Drosophila melanogaster: one gene and its partner. The protein of the gene in region 1 interacts with the protein of each later gene in a pairwise test. Each region holds a gene or a part of one and is shown on either strand. Other genes may lie near its edges.

What was found.
Region 2: the proteins of Uqcc1 (region 1) and Ogdh interact in a two-hybrid assay, tested with the Drosophila melanogaster proteins (one large-scale study listed by BioGRID).

Annotation. Positions count from the first base shown.
Region 1 is NT_037436.4:6,956,205-6,959,952, forward strand, and holds Uqcc1 (Ubiquinol-cytochrome c reductase complex assembly factor 1), read right to left. Parts: upstream 1,905-3,748; 5' UTR 1,818-1,904; coding exon 1,761-1,817; intron 1,648-1,760; coding exon 1,459-1,647; intron 1,400-1,458; coding exon 1,148-1,399; exon of another isoform or gene 1,081-1,147; coding exon 799-1,080; 3' UTR 744-798; downstream 1-743. Other genes in the region: CG9948 (uncharacterized protein), read left to right, coding at 31-193, 250-743; Surf1 (surfeit 1), read left to right, coding at 2,229-2,432, 2,501-2,622, 2,685-2,879, 2,936-3,317. UniProt on the Drosophila melanogaster protein: Required for the assembly of the ubiquinol-cytochrome c reductase complex (mitochondrial respiratory chain complex III or cytochrome b-c1 complex). May be involved in cytochrome b translation and/or stability.
Region 2 is NT_037436.4:16,953,118-16,957,043, forward strand, and holds the start of Ogdh (oxoglutarate dehydrogenase), read left to right. Parts: upstream 1-1,704; 5' UTR 1,705-1,762; coding exon of another isoform or gene 1,763-1,825; 5' UTR 1,826-1,926; intron 1,927-2,208; exon of another isoform or gene 2,209-2,210; 5' UTR 2,211-2,425; exon of another isoform or gene 2,426-2,474; intron 2,475-2,646; exon of another isoform or gene 2,647-2,696; intron 2,697-3,907; exon of another isoform or gene 3,908-3,926.

The DNA of each region.
Region 1 (3,748 bases):
TTCAAGCTAGTTTAATTCAATTTGGTAGCCATGCGCACCAGTTACAAGAAAAACAGACCTTTCGACTTCAAGCTAATTGATCTGGTGGAACCCAATCCTGTGCTCTATAAGAGATCTGGACTCTCGAACTACGATGCCATGAAGGCGAAAACCGATATCTGGGCTCGCATAGCCGAGATGATGGGCTGTGATGGTAAGTCAGCTAATAAAAGAATAAGATATATATATTTAAAGTTATAATCCTCTTAGTGGACTTCTGCCTGATGCGCTGGAACAATCTGCACTATCAGTTTCGCAAGGAGTTTCGCCGCGCGGACACCAGTGGATCCACCTGGCCGTACCTGGAACGCCTGCGATTTTTGGCCGAGATCCAGCCGCCCTCCAAAGTGAAAACCAAACCCAAAACAAACAAACAGGAGGCGACCATCCAGACGGAAACTCCTGTGCAATTTTTGTGGGACACTTTTGAGGATGGGGATGTTCCACAGCAGTCGAGTACGTTCATAATCGAGGAGGTCATCGAGGAGCCCAGTGAACAGATCATCCAAGAGGAAATCATCTACGAGGAACAAGAGCCCGCTGAAATAATCTCGCCCAGAAGCAGCTTTCTCCAGATGGACCAAATACTGGCCCAACTAAAGGAACCGCAGCGGAGAAGGGCAGAACGAAGGATTACAGCATTTCTGCTCAAGTGCCAGCTGCGTGCCTTGAGTAATCAGTCCGTGGAGGACCTTAGCATCTAGTTTCCAGTTCACATACTCTCAAACTTTATTTTTAAAAAACAGAATATAACTAAGATTAAACCTTGCACTTGTCCAATTCCAACCATGCCACTTTCGGCTTGACAATGAACTGATCGCGCGGCAAACTGTCCAGCATGCTGGCCTGCTGGCGGACGTACTTCACCAGTCGCTCGATCTGCGCGTAATCATCACAGTTCATCTCGAAGAAGCGGCGCCACAAGGCGCAGGCCAAAACCCGATCGTCGGACATGATGCCCTCGTCGTAGGCGATTAGGGCCGCTTGGAACTGCTCGGATAAGGTCTCGATTTGCTGACGGGTGCGTGAAGGATTGTGAGCCTGTTGGGAAACACATATGAAGAGCATAAAGATTATATATATAAAGGTGAACTAAAGTAAAACCTACTCCCAATTTCTTGGCGCGTGTGTTAACATCTCCCCACATCGCCTCCACAATGCAGTTGCGCAGGAAGCGTCCATCCTCGCCCGTTTCGGAGCCCTCGGCCATGGAGCGCATCAGGAGTAGCCAAACATGCAGTTCGGTGACCAAGAACCAGGAGTTAAAGGTATTGGGCAGATTGAAGTCGCGGAAAAAGGTCACATAGTTGATCTTGTCGGCGACGCTTTCGTACAGCAGATGACTGGTTACCTTGAGGCGCTGAAATGGGATCACTTCGATGAATATTAATCAAATGGGCAAAGTAATCCGAGTCCTACCGCCTTTGTGTTCGGTGTGAAGCCCACTTTGTTGAGCACTCTCTTCAGAATACCGCCTTCTGCGGCTTCCGCTGTGCCGGGTTTCGTTTTATTGGTATTATCCACAACGCCGGTGGATGAACACAAGCGGCATGGCTGCTCCAGCAGTCCCAGTATCGCTGGCCTGTGCTTATACGTATGTTGTGTTGCCTATAATATGTTTAATTTAAAAATTTTATATCCGTTTATATAAGAGTTGATGGCGGTGCATTCGGATGACCGTGTTTTGACTAAATAAAGTACAACCCCTGCTTTAAACATACCCATGCGGTTCTCGCTAGGCCGCCGGCCAGTCTTGCAACTGCACGAGTGCACTGCATTCTTAAATGTATCCTAAATTTACTAAAACAAAATCGTTTAAAAAATCCAATTGCACGCGACAACAGACTAAAACAGCTGATCGTAACGGGGCTGCCAACTTGGGTATAACGACATGTTAACAGTGACTTGCTAACATATGATTAACAGTAACAGATACAAATCTTTGTAAAGAAAGAAAAATGTTTTTTTTTTTGCATGTGAAAAGTAATAACTATTACTTTATTTTTTATATACTTTAAACCTTTGCAGTCTTAATTCATAAAATCAAGAAGAGCTTACATTCGGAAGTGGTGTGACCGCATGAAGTTATTATCCGTTCATAACAGTGCAAAACGGTCTTACTATCAACTTCCAGTTGGAAATGTAAATAAATAAATAAATAGAAAATTTAGAGCAAAATAAAAGAAAGTATGATACGTTTGGGGAACCAAATGTGCCGGCAAGTGGCCTTTAATATACAGACTGTATTCCGAAACCCGGGCACCGCGAACAATCCGAGATTAATCACCAGAAAGATGACACAACAGCGACCGCCGGTGAATTGGACAACCAGTATTCCCAATCAGGCGGCGAAGGACAAGGAGAAGATAGCTCCTTTGGGATGGTTCCTCCTGGTGGGTAGACACCAACTCCTCTACCTATACACACAACTAATCCTTGTTGTCCATTAACCAATCCCCAGCTCATACCGGCCACCACTTTTGGCTTGGGCTGCTGGCAAGTGAAGCGCAAGATTTGGAAGGAGCAGTTGATCAAGGATCTCAACAAGCAGCTGAGCACGGCGCCTGTGGCTCTACCAGACGAGTAGGTTTGCCCACATATTCTCCACTATATACCCACCCACTATAGTGTATTCCCTCCTGTAGTCTCACTGACTTGGCCCAAATGGAGTACCGCCTGGTCAAGATCCGTGGACGTTTCCTTCACGACAAGGAGATGCGCCTGGGTCCGAGATCGCTGATACGGCCCGATGGCGTGGAAACCCAAGGAGGACTCTTCTCGCAGCGCGACTCGGGCAATGGCTATCTAATAGTAACCCCTTTTCAGCTGGCAGATAGAGAGTAAGTTGTGCTCAAGGAAATCCCATAGAATCATCTTAATATCGTTTCGCCCCCAGCGACATAGTGCTCGTCAATCGGGGCTGGGTGTCCCGCAAGCAAGTGGAGCCGGAAACCAGGCCGCTGGGCCAACAACAGGCGGAAGTGGAGCTCACCGCCGTCGTGCGCAAAGGAGAGGCGCGTCCGCAGTTCACACCCGACCACAAGGGCAATGTCTATCTCTATCGCGACTTGGCGCGCATGTGCGCCGCCACAGGAGCAGCTCCTGTGTTCCTGGACGCCGTCTACGATCCGCAAACGGCTGCACATGCTCCAATCGGTGGACAGACACGCGTTACCCTGCGCAACGATCATCTGTCGTACCTGGTGACCTGGTTCAGTCTATCGGCGGCCACCTCCTTTTTGTGGTACCGCCAAATAGTCAAGAGGATACCCTTCTGAAAAAGGGAACCCAAATCAAACGCACTGTTGTTATTTTTATTATAAAAATTTACATGCTCTCGTGTAAATGCTGGTTTTTATTGGCCCGCCGCAGGAGGGGATTATTGTCCTGCTGGGACTTAATATTGCAACTACCGATCCTCGAGTGGCGGATCGACAGGGGAATAGGAATAGGAATATGAATACAAATACGGTTCGAGGGTTTCCCTTGCGGGTGTGCCTAGTTGAATACTTTAACTATTTAGAAACACACTCGTTAGTTTGGGTCGATATGGGGAAAGCTACATAATATTATATTGTCTGATCAAAAATAGTTACTACGTTTTATAACTTTGTGGTTAATCAATCATTGCCTTATGTTGTTCAAATAAGTAATTCGCTTTCTAGTTATATACAGAAATGTTTTAAAAGCTTATATCCTTTAGAAACTA
Region 2 (3,926 bases), about 10 Mb from region 1:
TATAAGCCTGTTGATTGATATTAATCACGGTAGGCTAAATACAAATATTCTCAGGCCAAATCAGCTTAAAAAAGAAATTGCCAAAATTCAGCAGAGTCTTTCAGAGAACCTAGTAATTCCAGGAAAACGGTCAGGTACGGAACTTAAGGAGGTGTATACACTGTTAACAGCCAGGGGTTTATTCATCGACGATAAATTGATCATTAGTGCAAAAGTGCCTCTGTTTAGCAGGCATCCATCCAAATTGTTCAGGCTTATTCCGGTGCCAATTCGAAATGAAGATCGGATAATAATGGTGCATACAACGTCCGAATATTTAATTTATAATTTTGAGATAGATTCCTATCACATAATGACGGAAGCCACATTAAATCAATGTCAGAAATGGCAACTAAATAAGAGAATATGCAAAGGAAGTTGGCCCTGGAATTCAGCGAATGATAATGCATGTGAGATTCAGCCTCTAAAGCCAGATAAAGCGGCGAACTGCATCTATAAAACAGTAGTCGACTCTAAAAGTTACTGGGTAGAGTTAGAAAAGAAAAGTAGTTGGTTGTTTAAGGTTCCTGCGAATTCAAAAGTCCGTCTGCAATGTACTGGCTCTCAAATTGAATTGTTTGATTTGCCTCAGCAAGGAGTTTTAAGCATTGCGCCATATTGTACGGCAAGAACCGACGATAAAATTCTAGTTGCCCACCATAACATTCAGTCCGAAAGTGAAGAATTATTATCAACACCTTATATAGGAGAAGTTAGTGGAGTGCCGAAGATTATTTGGGATCCGCTGAAACTATCAATATTAAATCATACTGAGGAATTTGAACGATTGAATAATGAAATTAAATTTATGAAAGAGAACCATCAAAAATTGAAAGATTTACATTTCCATCATATTTCCGGACATGCTGGATTAATTATTGCTTTAATACTAATGATAGTATTAATAATATATTTCATACGGAAATGTGCTGTGCAACAAAGAATGCAAGCAATAACCTTTGCAGGTCCGTTGCCAGTACTATAAATATCAATAGTAAATAAACAATAAAATAATATAACAAATAAAAATATACAGTCCACTAATAGAAAATGTACTTCTACATAGAAAAAGCAAAATGTTTAAAATAAGTTAATTAAGTACAAATTGTTGAATTAAAAATAATATAAACCATAATTGTAATCCAATAAAATTAAAAGCCAGAAAAACTAGGCCCATTGAAATCTTAGTTGCAAAATAAATGAACATATATCAAATAAATACAGTCCACTACTGTTATAAATGCAACTAATATACTAATGTACATCTCAGCTTTGCTGGCCCTTTGGCAGAATGTTCACACATGAACACGAATATATTTAAAGACTTACAATTTTGGGCTCCGTTCATATCTTATGTAAATGAATCGAGAGCGATAAATTATATTTAGGATTTTGTTATCTAAGGCGACATGGGTGCATTGCTCAAAAACATGTAATTTAAGTGCACACTACATGAGTCAGTCACTTGAGATCGTTCCCCGCCTCCTAAAATAGTCCCTTAGTGGGAGACCACAGATAAGGTCCTCGCCGCTCAAGATAGGCAGATGTGCCCGAGCGTGGGACCTCGATAAGGCGGGGACTATTTACGTAGGCCTCTGCGTAGGCCATTTACTTTAAGATGCGATTCTCATGTCACCTATTTAAACCGAAGATATTTCCAAATAAAATCAGTTTTCTTACAAAAACTCAACGAGTAAAGTCTTCTTATTTGGGATTTTACAATGTCTTTGACTGTATATCGGACCAAATTACCGGCTACTGTCTGGATCAATACAGCAGATATTAGTCTCTGTCTAGTGTGCGTAGCAATTAAATGGTTTAGTGCAAGTTGAATTCCAGTTTTTGTGTCAGGCCGCGACTATTGCGACTATTCCTGAGAAAAACAATGTAGGTGGCTTCAAACATTGTTGGAAATTACTAAACATATGTTTCTCGCTTTTCTTTTGAAAATTTCGTTTCAATGTTTCTTAAATAACTTGATATGATTTCACGGATATTCAAAATGGAAAAGTGTCAAGCAGAAGTCAACCCAATCGTGGTTACAAAAAAATAATAATAATAAAATAATAATAATAATAATAATATCTTGAACCTATATTATTAAATTAAAGGTATCAAATGGTTTAAGTAGATTACGGAAAAATTTTGAATTCTTTACATATTACTTACAGACTTTTTACATCGCGCCTTTCATGATCTTCCACAGTGGCGCCATCTGCAGTCGCATAGGAATAAGCTCTGTATGCTAGTGTTACCGCTCACCAAAACTGTAAAAATAATCGATATCTGGCACAAAACGATAGCGTTTCGATATGTTTGAGAGTCCAGGCCGTGCGCTAGCATTAACAGTCCCACCACTAACGCAAAAGTTTTCGGCTGTAAAAACGTAAATATTTAAACTTTAAGCAAGTTTAGTGTAAAAATAATCAAATCATGTGCGTTAATTTGCAAAAAGTCTGCGGGGCTATGGTCCATTTAGACTTAGTACTGGATTCAGCGGAAAACTCGCATTTCGCGTGCTTTTCACTTGTCCCACATTCGAGGTCCGCTTTTGCATCATGTGGAATTCCAGGAATTACCATCATCGTTTCAGCGATCAATGAGACACTGCCGCGTGTTCCCCTTTCTAAAAAGTGCATTTAGCAGGCATTTGATTGGTATTTTCCAACGTTTTTCCCCATTTAATTTCAAGGACTGTTCTTATATAATTGGAAAAGTGCAGGTGGGCGTCTCGTCGGCGGAAAAGCGCTTGCGCCGGCCGCCCCAAATGAAAAGTGAAATTTCGCAATGCAAAACAAGCGACGTCGGCGACGTCACATGTGGTTTTTTGTAAAATTAACTTGCCGCATTGATGACGCAATTGACCGAGTGCCGCGTGTGCTTTTCTCCCCGCCGCCCAATGAATCATCAATCAAAAGCAATGGCAATAGCAACAGCAAACCGCAAAGAAAGCGCGCGGCCGCATTGTCTGGGGCAGCACAACTAGTTATTTTTTTCTGCTGACGGATGTGGATCATCTGCCACAACCTATCATAAGTCGGCTGCAAAGGCCCCAGATCGGGAATAGTAACCACAAAAGTATTATAGTACTACGGAACCTCTACCTCCCCCTCGCACCCCGCTCCGCAATTACTTCATGCCCTTGGACCGCTCTTCTTCTTCTTCGCCTAGAGGGGGCTCGTCCAGGGTTTTTTTTTAATGGAATGCAAAACCCCACTGAGTGCGTCTCTCTTGCCTTCTTATACCCTTTTATAGGGTATCATGGCAATTTAATGTTTTACGCCAACTACGATAATAGCTTTTATTCAGTCTTAGACTAATTGGTACACTGATATCTACATAGTTATCATTCGATAGTCAAATTACCATTTCCGCTATTTTTTAGAGCAACATTAAAATTTACATTTTGCCACAAAAACCAAATAATAGTTTTTTATATAACTTTCTACATTATACATTTTTTTCGATAGAAAGTTAAACTATTAAATACTATAAAATACAACAATTCTAAAATAACTAAGAGTATCTAATGATCGGTGCCTCTTGAGTGTTCATTAATTTCGCACTCGCATCAAGGTAAATGGTTGTGTCTGGTGTGTGAACTTGAAACTTTATTGATTAGCGGAAAGGTAATTGATACACGCACAAATTCACTTGCGCTTGACCTATTAAATGCACTGTGAAAAATATGTTAAGAAATTGTTAAGATGTGATTCTGGATAGTGTACCAAATTTAATTTGAGTTGAGAAATCTTTTAGATATACAAACATTTTGTATTTTAATATTGTTTCTCGTTGTCTTTGGTATTATGTGATAAACAAGTTCTATGAATGTATTATACATTTTATTTTTTTGTGTATATCATACCGCTTTTTCTCTCCTCTCG